Linked DNA regions of Macaca mulatta. The protein of the gene in region 3 binds, or shares a complex with, the protein of the main gene of each other region. Links are inferred from orthologs where the notes say so. Each region holds a gene or a part of one and is shown on either strand. Other genes may lie near its edges. The genes, in order: CNOT6L, CNOT6 and CNOT10.

Region 1 (6,787 bases), on a different chromosome or scaffold from region 3:
ACTCCTTTTTCAACATTACTTTCAGACCAGGTAAGTTTAATAAACAGCTTAATTCAAACCTGCTGCTGATCCTCACCCCACGCTTATCCTCTAATCTGAGGGTGTGCCTGAATCATTTAATAAAAGGAAGGGCAGCTTTTATTTTATAGCAAATAGTAAACTTTTCTGTTACATTATGAAATTGGTATTGTAATTTTCTGGCATTCTTTTAAAAAACAAAGCTTAGCATAATGGTAACTCAGACTATTAATATTTTCGTTGTGTTTTGACTTTTTTCCAAATACAGTTCTATAGACTTATACAATAATAGTCCTTACTAATATAAAGAGTGCATTTTCCCACATTATTAGTATTATATCTTTTAAAAAAGAAACTGACTCAAAAGGGTTAAAAATCATTAGTCTGTAACCTCCTTTGTGCCTATGATCAAAGTTAGGGATCCTTCTCATAGGTGTATATGTACAAATACGTTGGGTGAATTCAGACATAACCTGGCTAAGGGTTTTGGTAAGAGTTTTTACTCCGGATATTTCAAACCAAGAGAATGATTACAAGTGATGCGTTCAATTAAAAACATCTTACTTCCTGGAGTGTTTAACATTTTTTTCTTGGGGCCTACCTTTGCAAAGAATTCTAGCAGTTGATGTGCATGATGGCGCTCTAATAAGGTTGTAAGATATAGGAGGCTTTGTTGCCCAGGCTGGAGTGCAGTGGTGTATTCTCAGTTAACTGCAACCTCTGCCTCCCAGGTTCAAGCAATTCTTTTGCCTTGACCTCCCTAGGAGCTGGGACTACAGGTGCATGCCCCCAGACCCAGCTATTTTTTTTGTATTTTTAGTAGAGATGGGGTTTCACCATGTTGGCCAGGCTGGTAATGAACTCCTGGCCTCAAGTGAGCTGCCCACCTCGGCCTCTGAAAGTGCTGGGATTACAGGAATCAGGCATGAGCCACTGTGCCCGGCCTTATAGGAGGTTTTATTCCACATAAGTAATTGAGATTATTTCATGTGTTTTATTTTAGAATTGAAGCAAAAAGTTGTCTCATAAGGAGAAATAAAATTACCCTGATCCTTGTTAACTCATTTTCTGAAATATCACTGTAAAACTGTAAAACTAGGCATATAACCAAAATGAAGGGATAATACCTTATGATCCTATCATTTTTTGACCATTTAAACTTGGAGTCCCCTGGACTCATGTAAGTTCCTTAATTTGTGGTAAAGTAGGGTTGGATAAGGGCTTCTTTTCTTTTATTATTATTATTTTTTAAGAGACAGAGTCTTGTTGTCAGCCAGGTTGGAAAGCAGTGGGACAATTATAAGTAGCCTCAAACTCCTGGACTCAAGTGAGCCTCCTGCCTCAGCCTCCCAAGTAGCTGGGACTATAGGTGCATGCCGCCACACCTGGCTAATGTTTGAATTTTTCGTAAAAACCCAGGTCTCATTATGTTTAACCAGGCTGGTCTTGAAGTCCTGGGCTTAAGCCATCCTCTTGCCCCCGCCTCCCAAAGGGTTGGATTATAGGCATGAGACACTGCACCTGAATCTTCTCTCTTAGGAGAGGAGCAGTTTTGGTGTTTTGATATTGGTCAAATGAAAATCAACAAACTGAAATGATTGTGTCCAAAATCTCACAATATAAAAATTTGTTTTCATTAAAAGTTTTTGTGTTTTAAGTAGCCCGTTTCATTATAATACTTTTTAAAGTATTGGCTGGAACTCGTGTATAGTATTTGTAAATAGGTTTTTACAGGTGTAGAAATATTTCTCCCTCCTTGGGCTCAGGCTGTCCTGATATGAATAGGAACTAGATAGGAAGAAATTTGATTTTGCTCTCTTGCATACACAACCTGGGATAATAAAAGCCCCCTGGTTTTGAGACTTACTGATCAGACTAATCAAGTCATTTAGCTCTGAGAGATAAAACTGCTATGTATGGCTTCCTGCTGAATGATTTTTGCTGAGTTATCCTTATGCAGGAAGGAAATCCAGAATTTACACATATTCTAGTATTTGTGAAAATGAGTATTTTAAATTAAGAATAGGACAGTTAACTAACTGTGTAGTGTTTTGTATGTATGTAGCAAATCTGGGAAAGCTAAACTAGGATTAGCAAATTCATAAACATGGTTTACTACAGCTTCAGCCAGGTGTGTTTGGATATCTCGATATGCAAATAATTGAAAATAATACCATTAACTATGTATGCGCTTATATATTCTTATTTTCTACTTATTATAGCCAATAGGATTAGTACAGGTTCCATTATATTTATACTGATATGTTAGATTTCACTAAACCAAGCAGGCCAATTCTAAAGATAACTGGACATAATTTAATGTGTTTAGCTTCTCAAATTATCACTTACACACAAATGCAAGGATTTATAATTCCAGTAGCATGCTGTGTTTCCCTATTGAGCCACCTTTATTTCATGTAATACCCATTGAAGATTTGAGTCTTACTTGACCCACTATCAAGACAACAGGTACCAAAAGAAAAGATACTCAGTTTTTTGTTTTTTATAAGTTATGGATTGTTCTTTATATATCCTGAATTTTTCTTTTCTTCCTATCCCCAATCTCTTTCCAGGGCGTGATTGACTACATTTTCTATTCCAAGACTCATATGAACGTGCTTGGTGTCCTGGGGCCTTTAGATCCTCAATGGCTGGTTGAGAACAACATCACTGGGTGTCCACACCCTCACATCCCTTCAGACCACTTCTCACTGTTAACACAACTTGAACTCCACCCTCCACTCCTGCCTCTTGTCAATGGTGTTCACTTGCCTAATCGGAGGTAGTGGAGTACTGCCCCGCCAAGACGGGGATCTGTTGCTATGGACCTGTACAGTTGTAAATCAAAGTATGTAGGAGTGAAGTATGGCCATCCTTAAGCTGCTTCTTCAGGTTTCTTTCATTATGTGTTTGCTGTAAGACTTTGTACATTTTTGTGCATATTGGTATCATTTGGCAGTAGGGCTGGAACCAAAGTATTACTCTCTTTCCAAAATTTTAATTTAACATGTTTTTAAATTGGACCTCCTCCTTTATATTGTATTAAGAGCCAGCATTCAAAATTGATAAATTACCAATTTGAGGCCCAACAACAGTGTATTTGTTTTTCCAAAACAAATACTTTCTTTTGAGTGGTTTCAGTGAGCCAACCATTTTATAAAAGGCAATTTTTAAAAACTATAAATACAGTATTTTAAACTGAATGATGATATGCCTTCCAGGAAAAACCTTGAATTTTTCCTTTATAACTGATTTTTGGATTCCCAAGTCATTTGCACATTAACAGAGTACTTAAATTTGCTCATTCTGTACATAAACTATGAGATAGCCTCTACACGTTTTAAGAGAATTTGAAAAATTAAAGATGGTTGTACAATATGCTTTCATAATCAAGCATGTAACACCACAGGACAATTTGTTGGCCAAATGCTAGTTTGGGGTTTTTTTGAGGAATCAATTTGGTTTTTTTGTCCTCTCTATATAACCTTGTTGGAAGTATTAATTCTAAGCCTGTCTCTCAAGTTTATTTATAGAGAAAGAGTAAGTAATCTGTATTGCCACATACCTTGAAAATAGAATGCGGTACATTTAGGATGCCCACAGAATGAATTTTTCCTTACTCCAATTCAACCTTCTTTCTGTTCGGTTGTGCCAGGAAAACAGATGTTATATGACCTATATCATTTTTGCCATTATAGTCAAATGTTAAAGAAAATCTGAATAAAAGGACCTTGATCAAAGTTTCAGATAGGGAAAATCATACAGATACTTTATGTGTTTCCAACATAGATTATGGGGCTGTTGGTTTTTTTGAGATGACAGTGCAAAGGATTTGGGAGAGAGGGAACACATTTGGGGCAGTAGTTGAAAACCTTGGGCCATTGTCCTGACTCTAGCTGCCAAATGGCCATCATATGCTTTTAATCTTTGTTTCCTTTGTCTGTCAGGGTTGAATTAAGAAGCTACTGGTTTATTCCCAATTGTTGATGCCTTTAGGTATGTTGGAATCTTTTTTTTGCCTAAGAGGGGCCAGTTGAAAATCTGTGACTCAAGAGGCAGTGAACAGAATACTGTTTTCTGGGGAATAATTGGTTCGCTACTTGATGTTAATTATGGCACAGTAACAGGAAAAGGTTGTGTCTGTGTTTTTAAGTTTTTCTTTATTCTGCTTTTTTGCTGCTATAAGAGTTTTCTGAAATTTATATTTTAAACTTTTCATGCACTTTACTGTTTCTAGTCTCAAAATGTGATATTTTTATTAAACAAGAAATTTTCCATTATGCGAATGAAATTTTAAAAGACAATAGCCTATATTTGTGTCTCACTAATATATAAAGTACAGGTCAAATTTAAATTATTTAATTAGTTTTAAATGTACACAATTTGTCTCCTCTTTCAAACCTGACATCTTAGACTGTTTTATTGGTCTTAAATGATACATTTACTTTGGTCATTTTATGCTAATTTCTTCCATAGTAAATTAATCAGGCTATATAAGATAATATTTCCCCAGAAGGGTAATTTTAGTGGGACGAGGGTGGTGGGATGATGTCATATCATACATGGGATTGCATCAGAAGGGTTCTGTAAAGCCTAAACTCCCTTTTAAAAGTGCCTAGTGATAGAGGCGTTGTTTGTCATCTGTTATAATTGGAATGTCATTGTAGTTCAGTGAATTTTGATGTAAATATTCTTTTAAAAATGTTAAAGTACCAGAATAAACAAAAAGAAACAACCCTTAAGATGACAGATTTTCCTCAACATGCAGGTTTCCCTTCTTATATACCTCAAGTATGCAACATCTAGCCATGCAAATTGATTACCTGAAGCATAGTACTGGAAAGTAGAATAGCATGAAAAACTTAATTTTGTGGACATTACCTTTTTTTGTAATCAGCTACTGTATGTTTTATTTTAGATCTTTTGTTTTGGGTGGGTTTTCTGCTCTGGAGGTATATGCACTAACAAAACATTTTCCTCCTTTCATATACGCATGTTAATTAGCAATGTGAGCAATATTTCCTACCATACTTCACTCCCAATATTTTTTGAGATGTTTGTATAAAATGGAATTTAAAGTTCACTTATGATTGTATATGAACCACAGAGGAGCCCATTTATTAATAAAAAACTTTTTTAATAGTTAAATGTAGAGGGAAAAAATAAAAAAAAATGGGAAACGTTGTAAACAGCTTAAGTTTATTTTGTGTATGATCGAGGCACTCTGTTGCAGGAAGGTGTGTAATTGGGTTCTCTCTGCTTCAAATGCGCTCTTTCAAACCATTCATTATCCTGTGTATTTTTAATGTGGTTTTAGTAAATGTTGGTAGTAGCTCTGTTGAAGTAGGTAATTGTGTTATGTTTTGGGTGGTACACACTTGGGGCATGGTAACCCAAATTTCATGTGCACGGTTTCCCTTTAGCCCACTGCCCAAATTTCACATACCCTTCACCCTCTGTTCCCTTTGTAAAAGGAGTGGTATCTGTTTTGAGCTGCCAATTCAGATGATCAGAAATGCTGCTTTCCTCAGCATTGTCTTGTTAAAACGCATGCCATTTGGAACTTTGGCAGTGAGAAGCCAAAAGGAAGAGGTGAATGACATATATATATTCAATGAAAGTAAAATATATATTCTCATATACTTTCTAGTTATCAGAATGAGTTAAGCTTTATGCCTTTGGGCTGCTGCATATTTTAATCAGAAGATAAAAAAATCTGGGCATTTTCAGAATGTGATACATGTTTTTCCTAAAACTTAAATATTTCGATATTTGTCTAAGAACTGGAATGTTCTTTAAATTTACTAAAACAGTATTGTTTGAGGAAGAGAAAACTGTACTGTTTGCCATTATTACAGTCATACAAGTGCATGTCAAGTCACCCACTCTCTCAGGCATCAGTATCCGCCTCATAGCTTTACACATTTTGATGGGGAATATTGCAGCATCCTCAGGCCTGACATCTGGGAAAGGCTCAGATCCACCTACTGCTCCTTGCTTGTTGATTTTGTTTTAAAATATTGTGCCTGGTGTCAACTTTTAAGCAACAGCACTGCCTAAAAGCAAGCAGAGAACAGAATCCCAGCACCATTCTATAGGCAACTTTTTAGAATTCAGATATAGTAAATCTGTTCCAGATTTATGATGTTTTATGTAAAAAAAAATTTTGTATAATAACATAGCTGAATATTTTTGTTTCATTTCTTTGATGTAAGGCGTGTGAACATTCGTTTGAATATCACATGTTGAAGTCAGGTATGGCACAATGGGTTCTGAGACCAGCTTTTCCTCCCTTCCCATTTGCCTTGTTCCAAGCTCTTTCTTTTCAAATTACTTTTCTGATATTCATAGGCAGATATTTAATTTTACTAATTAGCATCCTGTGTGAATGTATTAAAGAAGCCACTGTGTTTTAGTGTAGTTGGCAAAAATATAAAAGCTCCGTTTCTTATTTGCCCGTATTTTTTGGTGTCTTAAAGTTATATATTAAATCACAGAGAAGCAAGGGAGAAAGTTGAAAGATATCTAAGGCTCATATCACTTGATTCTATGATAGATTATATTAGCATTGAGGATGTGGCACATTAAAACTGGAACATGGGCAAATATAGTGTTCCATTTTAAAATTCTAAGTTTATATTGTTAAATGGGTGAAAATTTAAGTTTGTATTTGCATTTCCAAGCGTTTCTAAAAATCACTAATGCCATCTATACTTTTAGTATGAAACAGCAGAGTATAGAAAGCACAGGGAAGAATAGGCTAAATATG
Region 2 (6,787 bases), on a different chromosome or scaffold from region 3:
CAACAGAAAGAGAAAGAAAACCCTAAGCTTTCCCACCCTCTGGTTATACCCATGCCTTCTCTTCAATGTCTCCTGAAGAATCTGAAAGGAAGGGGCACTTGAGGATCAACAGGGGTTTACTTTCTGTGCTCTAAGGTGCAAGAGCTCCTGAGATACTGTCTAAACTCTTATTTACACTCTGACAATCTAATCTAAATGACTACTTTTCCAGCAGCTTAGAAACAGAAAGCTGGGAGTTGAGAAAGCAGAAATGCAACAAGTAGTTTAAAAGGCAGCTGAGTCAGATGCGGTAGCTCCCGTCTATAATCCCAGCACTTTGGGAGGCTAAGGCAGGAGGACTGCTTGAGGCCAGGGGTTCAAGATCAGGCTGGGCAATATAGCAAGACCCCGTCTTTACAAAAAATTACCCCAAAAAATGATTTGGGTATGGTGGCGCACACCTGTAGTCCTAGTTAGTGGGGAAGCTGAGGCAAGAGGGTTGCCTGAGCCCAGGAGTTCGAGGCTGCAGTGTGTTATAATCACATTACTGTACTTCAGCCTAGGCAACAGAGTGAGACATCTCTTTTTAGAAGAAGGACAGCTGAACACAAGAAAGTGACAGCCCTAAACAATCGCTAATGTTAAAAGTGATGATAGGCCGGGCGCAGTGGCTCAAGCCTGTAATCCCAGCACTTTGGGAGGCCGAGACGGGCGGATCACAAGGTCAGGAGATCGAGACCATCCTGGCTAACACGGTGAAACCCCGTCTCTACTAAAAATACAAAAAACTAGCCGGGCGAGGTGGCGGCGCCTGTAGTCCCAGCTACTCGGGAGGCTGAGGCAGGAGAATGGCGTGAACCCGGGAGGCGGAGCTTGCAGTGAGCTGAGACCCGGCCACTGCACCCCAGCCTGGGCGACAGAGCGAGACTCCGTCTCAAAAAAAAAAAAAAAAAAAAAAAAAAAAAAAGTGATGATAGTCTGACCAGGGGCGATGGCTCACGCCTGTAATCCCAGCACTTTGGGAGACTAAGATGGGTGGATCGCATGAGGCCAGGAGTTCGAGACCAGCCTGGCCAACATGGTGAAACTCCGTCTCTACTAAAAATACAAAAATTAGCCAGGTGTGGTGGCAGGCGCCTGTAATCTCAGCTACTTGGGAGGCTGAGGTATAATAATCACTTGAACCTGGGTGGAGGTTGCACTGAGCTGAGATCGTGCCACTGCACTCCAGCCTGGGCAACAGGGTAAGATTCTCTGGGGGGTAAAAAAAGATGTATCTTAGAAACACTTATAAATGGCTAACATAAACCACATTTTGGCATGCAAGAGTTTAGTTTCAATTAAAATGTTAAGAGACGGAACGTCTTACCCCAAATGTCACCCAAATTAGTTACTATGGTGCTGTATATCTAGCTATTAGTAAGGAGAATATAAGAAACATAATTGCGGCCGGGCGCGGTGGCTCACGCCTGTAATCCCAGCACTTTGGGCGGTCGAGACGGGCGGATCACGAGGTCAGGAGATCGAGACCATCCTGGCTAACACGGTGAAATCCCGTCTCTACTAAAAAATACAAAAAAGTAGCCGGGCGAGGTGGCAGGCGCCCGTAGTTCCAGCTACTCGGGAGGCTGAGGCAGGAGAATGGCGTGAACCCGGGAGGCGGAGCTTGCAGTAAGCCGAGATCCGGCCACTGCACTCCAGCCTGGGCGACAGAGCAAGACTCCGTCTCAAAAAAACCAAAAACATAATTGTCCCCAAAAGGTGAAAAAGTCAACTCAGGAATTTTACAGATTATTTCATCTGACTTCTTATCCTGAAAAATATTAGAATAAATATCTACAAAGTAAGGATATAACAGCAATCACGTGGACTTCTAAAGAAGGTAATAAAAGAATATTACTGGCTGAGCACAGTGGTTCACGCCTGTAATCCCGGCACGCTGGGAGGCTGACGTGCAAGAATCATTTCAGGCCAGGAGTTCAAGACCAGCCTGGGCATAGTGAGACCCCCATCTCTACAAAAAACACAAGAATTAGCCAGGCATGGTAGTAGGCGCCTGTAGTCCCAGCTACTGGTGAGGCCGAGGTGAGAGGATCATTGGAGCCCACATGGTTGAAGCTGCAGTGAGCCATCATTGTACCACTGCACTCCAGCCTGGGTAACAGAGTGAGACCTTGTCTCAAACCAAAAACAAAGAATATTGCTGTCAATCAATTCAAGATTGCTTCATTCCAGTCTGAACACACATCCACATTTTTAAAGACATAATGATGCATCAGCAGACTTGCCAGTAAAATAGAGGTTTGAAAAACTTATCAGTCTCAAGACACACCTTGAAATCAAACGTGTAATTTGTGTAAGGCATCAGGCCACTCTCATAGGCACTCTTTAACTTGAAACCATGAGTGATCCTTCCATTGGTGGTTCCATTCTTCCCGTGACAGCTGAAGTTGGTAAGACTTTCATTATACCTCAACTCCTTAAAGTCTTTGTGATTTGTTTCTACTCCACCCGTGCTCAAATATTCTACAACACCTACAATGAAGACAATTTTTTTTACTGTCAAATATAATATAAACAAAAAGTAATTTTAAAAGATCATGCAATAGTAAAAAGTTTTAAACTACATACTCCCATGTTCCAAAATGTTTCCTTTTACATTTGCCAGGACTTGTCCAAATCTATTTTTACACAGCTGTAATCACAGAATACTGAATAGTTTATACTTTGCTTTATGAACATGTGTCTTCCCAATTATCATTCTTTAATGCACAATGCAACTGGGCTGGTGGATAATATTTATGGTTACTTATTTTGTAAAATGCAGGTAGTTTCCACTTTTTACAAAGAATTAAAGATAACACCACAATCAACATCTTAGTATGCAGACTTCCTGCTTATGCTCAATTATTTACTTGGTATAAAATCCCAAGATTAGGACTGAATGTGCCATTTTACGATACTGCCAGCTATGGAACAGAATACCACCAGCTAGTTACAGAGCAAGCGTCCACATCCCTAGTCAAGTATTTTCCCAATTTACTAAGCATAGATGGGCTCTGAAAATAAACTTTCATTTGCATTTTATTCACAAATTAGCAAGGCTGGACATTTTCTGACCTGCCTGCTATTACAATATCGTATTTCTCAATGCTGAAATGGGTCTTGGGTATTAATGTGTGACTAGATTTTCTCTTTACCCCTCAGATACTTTGTAGCTACACAGAAAGTAGAAAGCATGTAGAGAAATTGTCAGAGACTACTACTCAACTGCTTCAGCAGCAGTAATCTCCAGACAACCTGATGAAATGAAATAATTACAGATTTTAGATAGCTTTGATTTTCCCTGAAATCGATTTTTTTTTTTTTTTGAAACGGAGTCTCGCTCTGTCTCCCAGGCTGGAGTGCAGTGGCGTGATCTTGGCTCACTGCAAGCTCCGCCTCCCAGGTTCATGCCATTCTCCTGCCTCAGCCTCCCGAGCAGCTGGGACTACAGGCGCCCGCCACCACGCCTGGCTAATTTTTTGAATTTTTAGTAGAGACGGGGTTTCACTGTGTTAGCCAGGATGGTCTCGATCTTCTGACCTCGTGATCCGCCCGTCTCGGCCTCCCAAAGTGCTGAGATTACAGGCGTGAGCCACCGCGCCCGGCCTGAAATCGAATTTTAACTCAGTTTCTTTCTTTCTTTTCTTCTTTTTTTTTGGAGATAGTCTCACTGTCACCCAGGCTGGAGTGCAGTGGGACAATCTTGGCTCACTGCAACTTCTGCCTCCGGGGTTCCAGTCATTCTTGTGCCTCAACCTTCGGGTAGCTGGGATTACAGGCCTGCACCACCACGCCTGCCTAATTTTTGTATTTCCAGCAGAGACGGGGTTTCACCATGTTGGCCAGCCTGGTCTCGAACTGCTGGCCTCAAGTGATCCGCCCACCTCGGCTCCCCAACGTGCTGGGGTTTTCTTTCTTCCTAATGGCTCTATCTATTGTGATGTCAATAATGTGTTTCCCAATGCGCATGTGTGTGTGTTCACGCATACACTCAAGTCCAAGGAGAAGTATTCCTGTGTGTACAAATGAGTGGAAACACGAAAAGGAAGAAACAGTTTGTTATTACAAGGGCTATTGTTTATTGCATACTATCTATGGAAAGAGCATTCCAGATCAGGCTTTCTGTATTCTACATTTTAATAATCAAGATCCTTGCTCTTTGTTAAAATCGCTTGACTGATGTGTGTGTAAATAAAGGAGCTCAATTTCTACTTGAGGTGTATTTTTCTAATCAAGTTACAAATACGTGCAAAATTGAGATTCCCTAATTTTAACTCAAATTTAAACTATGATTATATTACCAGATGCTGGAATCCCAAAGGGGTTGTCTCAATACCATAATTATCTCTGACTTGGGGGTAATAAAACGGAACTACATACGTTCTTTAAAGAGTTATTTCACGTTATTGGTTATGTGTTTATTCAAAATGATTAACATCCTTCTCCTCAAGCTTCCACAATATCGTTTCATCTTCAAAATGGCCCCTCCACCCCAACGTGACGTTTAAAACCTGCTCATAGCTGCCATTACAAACTGAATTTTTATTTGGACTTAATTTGGAATGATCAGAAACAAAACATTACTAAATCATTTTATGTCAAAAAATATTCTACATAAAATCACATTATTTTCTTACCAGAGTCTGGCAAAGAATTAAGATCTGCACATAACACAAGTGGAATAGTTCCAAATTCTCCCAAAACACTGGATTTGAGGTTGCGAGAGGCTTTATCAATAATGTTCTTCACTTCTGAGAGGAACATCATAGTCTGCACCAACTTCACATCAGAGTACTCAGGGTCCCAATGCATGTGCGCATTGGCCACGAGAATGAGCTGTTTTTCTGTTCCAAGATGTGGCTTTCCAGCTACATTAGATAAAAACGAAACAAAGAAAGAGACAAAACCCACCCATCAGCCCATATATTCTTACAGCGTCTGGGCAAATAATCTCTCAGAGTCCCAGAATAGAAAAGACACCTAAAATTTCCATCGGATGACTGAACGTGCCCTACAACAAATCTGAGAAATACACGCCTAAACCTGGGCTGATGCTTCCAGCACAGAGCATTCACTACTTGTGCAAAAACAGCCCTATTTGGGACAGCTTGATTTTTAAAATTCTGTCTCCTTGAAACTTTTGGTCTTAGTTTGGATGTCCTAAATCAAGCCTCACAAAATTACATCTAAACCCGTTTTCTTAGATGTAAGTCCTATTTCCATTTTTTCTATACTTCACATTAAATATCTCCAGTTCCAACTGTTCCTCAAGGGACACAAGTTTCAGCTCCCAGCATAATGGTCACTTGAAATATACTTTCAATTTGAAGTGGTCCATTTATCCCAAACTCAAGACCTTTAAAATAATTATTTTATTTTATATTTTTCTTTATTTATTTTTTTGAGAAGCAGTCTCACTCTGTCACCCAGGCTGGAGTGCAGTGGGGCAATCTCAGCTCACTGCAACCTCTGCCTCCCAGGTTCAAGCAATTCTCTCCCTCAGCCTCCCAAGTAGCTGGGATTACAGGCGCCTACCACCACAGCCAGCTAATAAAATGATTATTTTAAACAGATCAGGAAAAGAAGTCAGCTTACAGGACATCCTTGCTGCCAAAAAATTATAAACGTGTATGGAGTTCTTACCCCTGAGCAGTTATTTTAATTTATATTTACTTCAACATTTCTTTTTTATATGAAAAATTCTTAAGCACACAAAAAAAATGTTTCTTAATGCTTTTCAAGGCTTCTAATACTTTAACGGGCAATGCTTTCTCATGTTGTTTTGTGGTAGAGAAAAAGAGATACATTTCAGGAAAGACAACTTCTCACTGAGTTTCTTCAGGTGTTAGACAAGACCATGAATACACAATGAAATTTCTGTTTTCTACTCTTTTGAAGATTTCTAGTCAGAGCTAGTCAATTTTACAGGAAGTGAAGGGCACTCACACGGCATTTCAATCGATTCCTTCCGAAGTTCTAGCAGTACTGCAACCCCAATGTTATCTTTTGTCATGACTCTGTTCAGCATAGCTTCAGACCCCTCAGAATTTGCCATGGCTAGCTGATTAAATTCAACAGTGTGTTTCTGAACCAAAGTAAATCTAAAACAAAAACAACACACAACACACACAGAGTTGGGAATACCAAGAGGTTAGCTTTGTGGGAAATGTAGTCTTCCCAAACTTCCTTCACAGATACGATGGCACTTAAATCACATTATGGAAAATCCTCCACGGTTAGCACCAAGGTTCCCACATCCATTTAAAGTTGCTCTCAGTCTGTTATTGATACAAATAACAACTTGAAATACTTTTACAACTGAAGAAAATGTAGTAATCTTCTGTTTAGGTTTTATGTTGGAATATTCTACCTTGTAATTTTTAAACAATTCTTTTCTTAAGTATGGGTTTAAGAATCCCTGTACCGTCCTAGAGGGAATTTTAAGTACCCGGTATTTCAATTAACAATTGGAGTTAAACCCTAGTAAACACCTGAAGAAACAGCAGTACTTTAAGCATGTCTCCAAAACAAGGTTATTTCTGATGATTAAAAACAAACAAACAATCCCCTAGGTCAAACAGTATTATTTTCTTGAGTAATAACATAGTGCCTCATTCTCTCATTTGCCAATTCATTTCTACACCCTTGGCCCCCACCCTGCAAATACTGAGAAAATGTTCTTTTTCAAAAATAAGATGACTTACTTTTCTGTCTTGAAGAATATTGCACAGCCATCAACATGTTTCCTTTCTTGTTCTGACAT
Region 3 (7,276 bases):
TTTTAGATGGTGTTTTGCTCTTGTTGCCCAGGCTGGAGTGCAATGGCACGATCTTGGCTCACTGCAACCTCTGCCTCCTGGGTTCAAGTGATTCTCCTGCCTCAGCCTCCCGAGTAGCTGGGAATACAGCTACTTTTGTATTTTAAGTTAAGACAGGGTTTCACCATGTTGGCCAGCCTGCTTGAACTCCTGACCTCAGGTGATCTGCCCACCTCAGCCTCCCAAAGTCCTAGGATTACAGGCGGAGCCACTGCGCCCAACTCTCTTACTGATTTTTATTGTATTTATTTATTTATTTTTGAGATGGAGTCTGACTGTCGCCCAGGCTGGACTGCAGTGGTGCAATCTTGGCTCACTGCAAGCTTCGCGTCCCGGGTTCACAGGCTCCTGCCTTAGCCTCCTGAGTAGCTGGCACTACAGGTGCCTGCCACCACGCCCAGCTAATTTTTTTGTATTTTTAGTAGAGAAGGGGTTTCACTGTGTTAGCCAGGATGGTCTCGATCTCCTGACCTTGTGATCCGCCTACCTCGGCCTCCTAAAGTGCTGGGATTACAGGCGTGAGCCACCATGCCCGGCCTTTTATTTTATTTTTTGAGAGAGGGTCTCACTCTGTTGCCCACAGTGGCCTGATCATAGCTCACTGCAGCCTTTAACTCCTAGGTACAAGCAATCCTCCCACCTCAGCCTCCCTAGGAGCTGAGACTATGGGCACATACCACAATGTTTGGCTTTTTATTTTTTAGAGTCAGGGTTTCACTTATGCTGCCCAGGATTGTCTCAAACTCCTGGCCTCAGGCAACCCTCCCACTTCAGCCTCCCAAAGTGCTAGGATTACAGGCGTAAGCAACTGCAGACAGCCTCTCTTCCTCATTTTTTTCTTCTGAGTATTTTTTTTTTTTTTTTTTTTTTTGAGATAGAGACTCACTCTGTCACCCAGCCTGGAGTGCAGTGGCGCGATCTCGGCTCACTGCAACCTATGCCTCCCGGGTTCAAGCAATTCTCCTGCCTCAGCCTCCTGACTAGCTGAGATTACAGATGTGGGCCAGCATGCCCAGCTAATTTTTGTATTTTTAGTAGAGATGGGGTTTCACCATGTTGGTCAGGCTGGTTTGGAACTCCTGACCTCAGGTGATCCACCCTCCTCAGCTTCCCAAAGTGCTGGGATTACAGGCGTGAACCACCACACTCAGCCTTCCTCAGAGTATCTATCACAACTTGAAATCATCTTATTTTTCATTTTGTTTACATGCTTATCTGTCCTTCATACTACATAAGCTCCAGAACAGAGACTTTGTTTTGTTCCTGCCCAGTTCCTAAAGTAGTACCTGGCAAAACAGGCCATTGGTGAATATTTACTGAATAAATTAATATCACAACATTAGCTCGTCTTAGGTGGTCTCTGGGCTTCCCATCTTGCTTCATTTAAATCCACCATCTACAACTCTCAGCGTGATCAGATCACTCATCTTAGGTCCTTTCATGACCCTTTTTTCTTACCTGATGAAGAACACACACACAAGACCCTCCATGACAAAGATACTGACCTCATGAGCTGAGAGAGGAAGCAGCGTGTAAGACAGACTTTGAATGAATGGTGTTCAACAGACTGAGAAGAGAAAGGACATTACGGCTGAGAAGCTCAAAAAGCACAATGCTTTGCAACAGTAATTTATGATGTGAAGAGCTGGGTAGGTTGATATAGAAAAACCAGCTGGAAATAGATTTTGAAGATGCTCACAAACCACATTAAAGAGTGAGGACGGTCCGACGTGGTGGCTCACGCCTGTAATCCCAGTACTTTGGGAGGGCGAGGCGGGAGGATCACAAGGTCAGGAAATCGAGACCATCCTGGCTACCACGTGAAATCCCATCTCCACTAAAAAATACAAAAAAATTAGCCAGGCGTGGTGGTGGGTGCCTGTAGTCCCACTACTGGGGTGGCTGAGGCAGGAGACCATGTGAACCTGGGAACCCAGGAGGCAGAGCTCGCAGGGAGCCAAGATCCTGCCACTGCACTCCAGCCTGAGCAACAGAGGGAGACTCTCAAAAAAAAAAAAAAAAGGACTTAAAAGGAGAAAGAAAATATAATAAAAATTAAATAAAAAGAATGACTTGATGCCCAAAGCATGTACAGTCTTAAAAACTTCATAGGAAGGGGAATGATAGGATTCAATGAATGCCTTAGGGGATAAAAAAAAAAAAGGGGGGGGCAGGGTGACAGTGAGGAAAATGGATGGGATAGGAAGAGACAAGAGACAAACACCAGTGAGACTACTTAGTGCGACATAGATCATACTAAAAGACAAAGGCCAGAAACACAGCAGTTGAGATGGACATGAGCAGAAATTCAAAGGAGCCACACTAAACATTCATCTATTTTATACAAATTTAACCTTATATCTAAGCAGGAAGTTTCCTTCAACATGGCCTCTGAACTTAAACCAACGAATAAAACAGTCTCCTAATCCCTGTGGACCTTATTCTTCAACTACACACATTACACAGCTCTTACTAAACAGGAGTGCAGCTAGGATATGTCCGTCTCCTCCAACAGACTGAACAGCAGGTCTTCAAAGGCAGGGAGTGTGTCACATCTATTATTCAACACTCAATCGTTGCGAATGAATAAATGAACGAGTAGAAGACTTTATGACTGAGGATTTGAAAACTGGATAGGCTTTAGGTCTAACAAGGTGATTTCGGGCAAGCGCAATGGTATGAGCAAGTAGGAATGGTAAATGTGGGGAACACAGACACCATTCTAAAATCAGGAGGATGTTGGTCCCCTTGTCCAGACTTGGACAGGCCATGCCTCTTTCCTGTCTAATAGTCTCTCCCTCATCCACCTTTCCCCATTCCGTATCCGCTCATTCCCTCACTTCTTTGAGGTATCTGCTCAAATATCTCACCAGAGGCCTTCCCTGATCAACCTATCCAAAATTTCACAGCACATTCCTTATACCCTCTCTAGGTCTTTGTTCTGTTGTTTTTCTTCTTAGAAGATTATTGAAGAGATCCTCTAACGATTTTTATTCCTCTGTACCTAAAATATAATTGGCTTAAATTTCCAAGTGAAGTTCACTTGTCAGTTACTGCGATCAGAACCTACTAAAATCCACAGGATACTGAGATTTTATACTAAATTCACTGTAAAAATTTTAAGTTCCATCACTTTTAAATTCTGTCACTTAAGTTCTTTCCAATAAAACCTGGATGCCACAAAGAATATTAATTTATTGCGGGAAACATTCCGGACACGGTCAGGAAATAATTTTATATTCCTTAATGGGGAAGATTCTAGGAATGGGAGCAATAATCCATAAAGAAAACCATCGAGATTAAGTAATTTCGAGGAACTACGGCAATTAGGTACCAAACCCAAGATTTTACAAGCATAGACTGTAGAGAGGCAATATGCCTATTTAAATAAGTGGTTTACTTTGGGAAGCCGAGGCGGAAGGATCGCTTGGGCCCAGAAGTTCGAGATCAGCTTGGGCAACAGAGCGAGACCCCCACCCGTCTCTATTAAGGAAAAAAAAAAAAGTGGTTTTTACAAAGTTAATTCCATAGAAGTCAATGACCAGACGAAGCCACGTGTGGCCAGAACAGCCCAGGTGAATCCCAGCCTGAACCACGGGATATAGGCAAATGTGTGCTCCAGGGTGACTTTCTCTTGTCTGCTTTTCCCACGAAGAAGCGGAAAATTCTGCGAAGCGGCAAAATACACTTAAGCTTTTTGGGCCGGAGTTATTCTGGAGAGCAGGGCAAAGGCGGCCAGCAGCGACTTCACACTGCACTTGAGTAAAACAACTACTGGACCCGGGGCCCGAAGACTCATGTTAGCGACAGCCGAGATAGAGGATGGGGTAAAGAAATGCACGCCCAAATTCAAGTCGCCCTGGAGTCCCCATCCGGGGCCCCGCGCCTCCGAGTTCAGGGTCCGCCCGGCCCCGCACGTCCCGCCGTCTCGTCGCTCGGGACATTGGCGTCCTACCTGCAGGCTTGTCTGCAGCCATCTTCCCGCTTCGGCTTGGGTTCTTCCCTGCAGGTGGCGTGGCCCTGACTCCCGCCGCCGGGCTGGCCGCTGTCCTGGACCTATGAGGACAACTCTGTGCCTACCCCGGCTCTGGGCCCTCAGGTTCCGGCTTGGGGAGTGGGCAGACGGCTGGCTGAGGAAGTGACGAGCGCTAGTTCGCGTCGTCTAGCAACAGCAACAGCTTCCCCACCCAGAGAGCGCCACAGCCTCCCGCCATCCACAGCTTCCGCCCCACGGCGTCCCGGTACCCACTACTTCCGGGGGCGGCAGCCTGCCGCGCCTGGAGCGCCGGCGTGGGAACTGCTGCTGGCCCCGCCCCACGCCGACGTCCCCTCCGCGCCCCGCCCCCGGCCGGACGTACTCTGGCTGGAACCTCTGCATGTTCGCAGGGCGGATGCGATGGGACGTAAGCATCTCTGTCCTTTGGTTATTCTGATTAAAATACCAAAGTGTCAGAGCTTTTGTCCCTCAATGTCACATAAGATTACAGTAATCATATCTGACATTTATGTGCTAAGCACTGAGCCCTGCACTTGGTTTGTACTATCTCATGATTTCTTGCAACCCCGTGAGAGAGGCGCTGTTGAGGATCCCCGTTTAAAAACAAACGCTTTTTATTTTAGAATAGTTGTAGTTGTGCAGAAAAGTTGCAAAGATGACACCTAGAGTTCCTGTCTCCTCACCTAGTTTCTCCTAGTATGAACATCTTAATTATTTTACTATGGTACGTTGATCACATCCAATAAACCAGTTTGATTGGTGCATTATTACTCACTAAACTACACATTTTATTCACATTTACCAGCTTTCTTTCAATGTCCTTTCTTTGTTATTGTTCCAGGATCCTGTCCAGGACACCACATTGCATTTATTCATGATGTCTTCTTATGCTCTTTTTGGCTGTGGCAGTTTCTCAGATTCTCCTTGTTTTTGATGACCTTGACAGTTTTGAAGAGTTACTTCTCGGATATTTGGTGGAATGTGCCTCAATTTGGGTTTGGCCAATGTTTTTCACATGGTTAGACTGGGGTTTTGGGTGTTTAGGAGGAAGACCACAAGGTTACTGGCTATTCTCATCACATAGAATCAAAGGTACCTGCTCTCAAAATGACATCACTGATCATGTTAACCTTGATTACCTTTCTAAGGTAGTGCTTGCCAGTTTTCTCCGCTATGAAGTTACTCCTCCTACCCTTCCACACTACTTTGGAACCAAGTCAATAAATGCAACCCACATTCAAGGTGGGAAGGTGGGGTATTTAAGCTCAACCTCCTGCAGTGGGGAGTATGTACATAAATTATCTTCCCCCAGGGAAATTTGCCTCTTCTCCCTCATTTAGCTATTTGTATCAGTATGGACTCATGGATGTTTATCTTATACTGGTTACATTCCAATACTACATTATTTTGTTGCTAAAACTGTCCCAGCTTTGTTAATTGGGAGATTTTTCAGGTTTATACCTGTTTTTTTCTTTTTTTAAAAAAACTTTTGTTTTAAACTTTCTTCTAAAAAAGTATTTGTTTTTGGCCAGGCGCGGCGGCTCATGCCTGCAATCCCAGCACTCTGGGAGACCAAGACCAGTGGATCACTTGAGGTCAGGAGTTCGTGACCAGCCTGCCCAACATGGTGAAACCCGGTCTCTACTAAAAATACAAAAATTAGCCGGGCGTGGTGGTGTGCATCTGTAATCCCAGCTACTTGGAAGGCTGAAGCAGGAGAATCGCTTGAACCCAGGAGGCGGCGATTGCAGTGGGCCAAGATCGCCCCACTGCACTCCAGCCTGGGCAATAGAGTGAGACTCTGTCTCAAAAAAAAAAAAAAAAGGTATTTGTTTTTTCTTAAACTTTTAAATTCAGGCTAACATACACAAAGAAAAGTGCATGAATCATAAGTACAGCTTATTGACTTTTCATCAACTTAACGAATACATGTAACTAGCACCCAGAGAAAGGACAGAGCTTTACCTGTACCTGGGAGTTCCCCTCATGCCTCTTCCCATCTCTCCACAAAGATAATCATTATGCTGACATTTAACACTATGGATTAGTTTCACCTGCTTTTACACTTAATGAATACACATTATACAATATATGTTTTAGGATCTAGCTTCTTTTGCTTGATAGTATGAGATTCATTCACATTGTTGAGTGAGGTTGTATTTGTTTCTCATTGTTACATATATTATTATGTTACATTATGTGACTGTTCCTTAATTTATGTATTCATTTTGTTGTTGGGCATTTGGATATTATATCTATTTCAAATATGGCCAATATGAATACTCTAGTATGACTTTTGATGAATATGTGCCCACCATAAAAAGGCATACCTGGCCGGGTGCGGTGGCTCACTCCTGTAATCCCAGCACTATGGGAGGCCGAGGCAGGCAGATTACCTGAGGTTAGGAGTTTGAGACTAACCTGGTCAACATGGTGAAACCCCACCTCTACTCAAAAAAATACAAAAATTAACTGGACAGTGTGACGGGTGCCTGTAATTCCAGCTACTTGGGAGGCTGAGGCAGAAGAATTGCTTGAACCCGGCAGGTGGAGGTTGCAGTGAGCTGAGGTCGTGCCATTGCACTGCAGCCTGGCCAGCAAAAGCAAAACTCCATCTCAAAAATAAATATATACATAATAATAAATAAATAATTAAAAATAATAAAAATGCACACCTGAAGTGTAGTAGGGAGCCTCTTAATGAGAAGGAATTAGGAGGAACTTCCTATAGAATTTGGGCTTATGCTAACGGGATTGGGAAAGTAGGAGGCCAAATTTGAATTGGATGCTGTTAGGAAACAGGCAATTCAGTCTTGGTTTTATCTAAACAGAAGGAGGAACAAAGCAAGCTACAGCTGTCACTGGTAAAAAACAAACAAACAAACAAACAAAAAAAACAGGCCGGGCTTGGTGGCTCACGCCTGTAATCCCAGCACTTTGGGAGGCCGAGGCGGGCGGATCACAAGGTCAGGAGATCAAGACCACAGTGAAACCCCATCTCTACTAAAAAATACAAAAAATTAGCCGGGCGCTGTGGCGGGCGCCTGTAGTCCCAGCTACTCAGGAGGCTGAGGCAGGAGAATGGCGCGAACCCGGGAGGCGGAGCTTGCAGTGAGCCAAGATTGCGCCACTGCACTCCAGCCTGCGGGACAGAGCGAGACTCTTTCTCAACAACAACAAAAAAACCCAGAATTACTCATATTAGAAGAAGGGGATGTTTTCTCATTTTTATGGTTGTTG

What was found.
Region 1: CNOT10 (region 3) and CNOT6L share a complex: the UniProt entries of both Homo sapiens proteins name them as parts of the CCR4-NOT complex. The link is inferred for Macaca mulatta from reciprocal best matches to the Homo sapiens genes CNOT10 and CNOT6L.
Region 2: CNOT10 (region 3) and CNOT6 share a complex: the UniProt entries of both Homo sapiens proteins name them as parts of the CCR4-NOT complex. The link is inferred for Macaca mulatta from reciprocal best matches to the Homo sapiens genes CNOT10 and CNOT6.

What each region holds. Positions count from the first base shown.
Region 1 is NC_133410.1:56,078,706-56,085,492, forward strand, and holds part of CNOT6L (CCR4-NOT transcription complex subunit 6-like), read left to right. Parts: intron 1-2,591; coding exon 2,592-2,804; 3' UTR 2,805-6,787. UniProt on the Homo sapiens protein: Has 3'-5' poly(A) exoribonuclease activity for synthetic poly(A) RNA substrate.
Region 2 is NC_133411.1:189,585,542-189,592,328, reverse strand, and holds part of CNOT6 (CCR4-NOT transcription complex subunit 6), read right to left. Parts: coding exon 6,729-6,787; intron 6,126-6,728; coding exon 5,971-6,125; intron 4,893-5,970; coding exon 4,662-4,892; intron 2,515-4,661; coding exon 2,312-2,514; intron 1-2,311. UniProt on the Homo sapiens protein: Poly(A) nuclease with 3'-5' RNase activity.
Region 3 is NC_133407.1:15,845,725-15,853,000, forward strand, and holds the start of CNOT10 (CCR4-NOT transcription complex subunit 10), read right to left. Parts: upstream 4,180-7,276; 5' UTR 4,017-4,179; coding exon of another isoform or gene 3,995-4,016; intron 1-3,994. UniProt on the Homo sapiens protein: Component of the CCR4-NOT complex which is one of the major cellular mRNA deadenylases and is linked to various cellular processes including bulk mRNA degradation, miRNA-mediated repression, translational repression during translational initiation and general transcription regulation.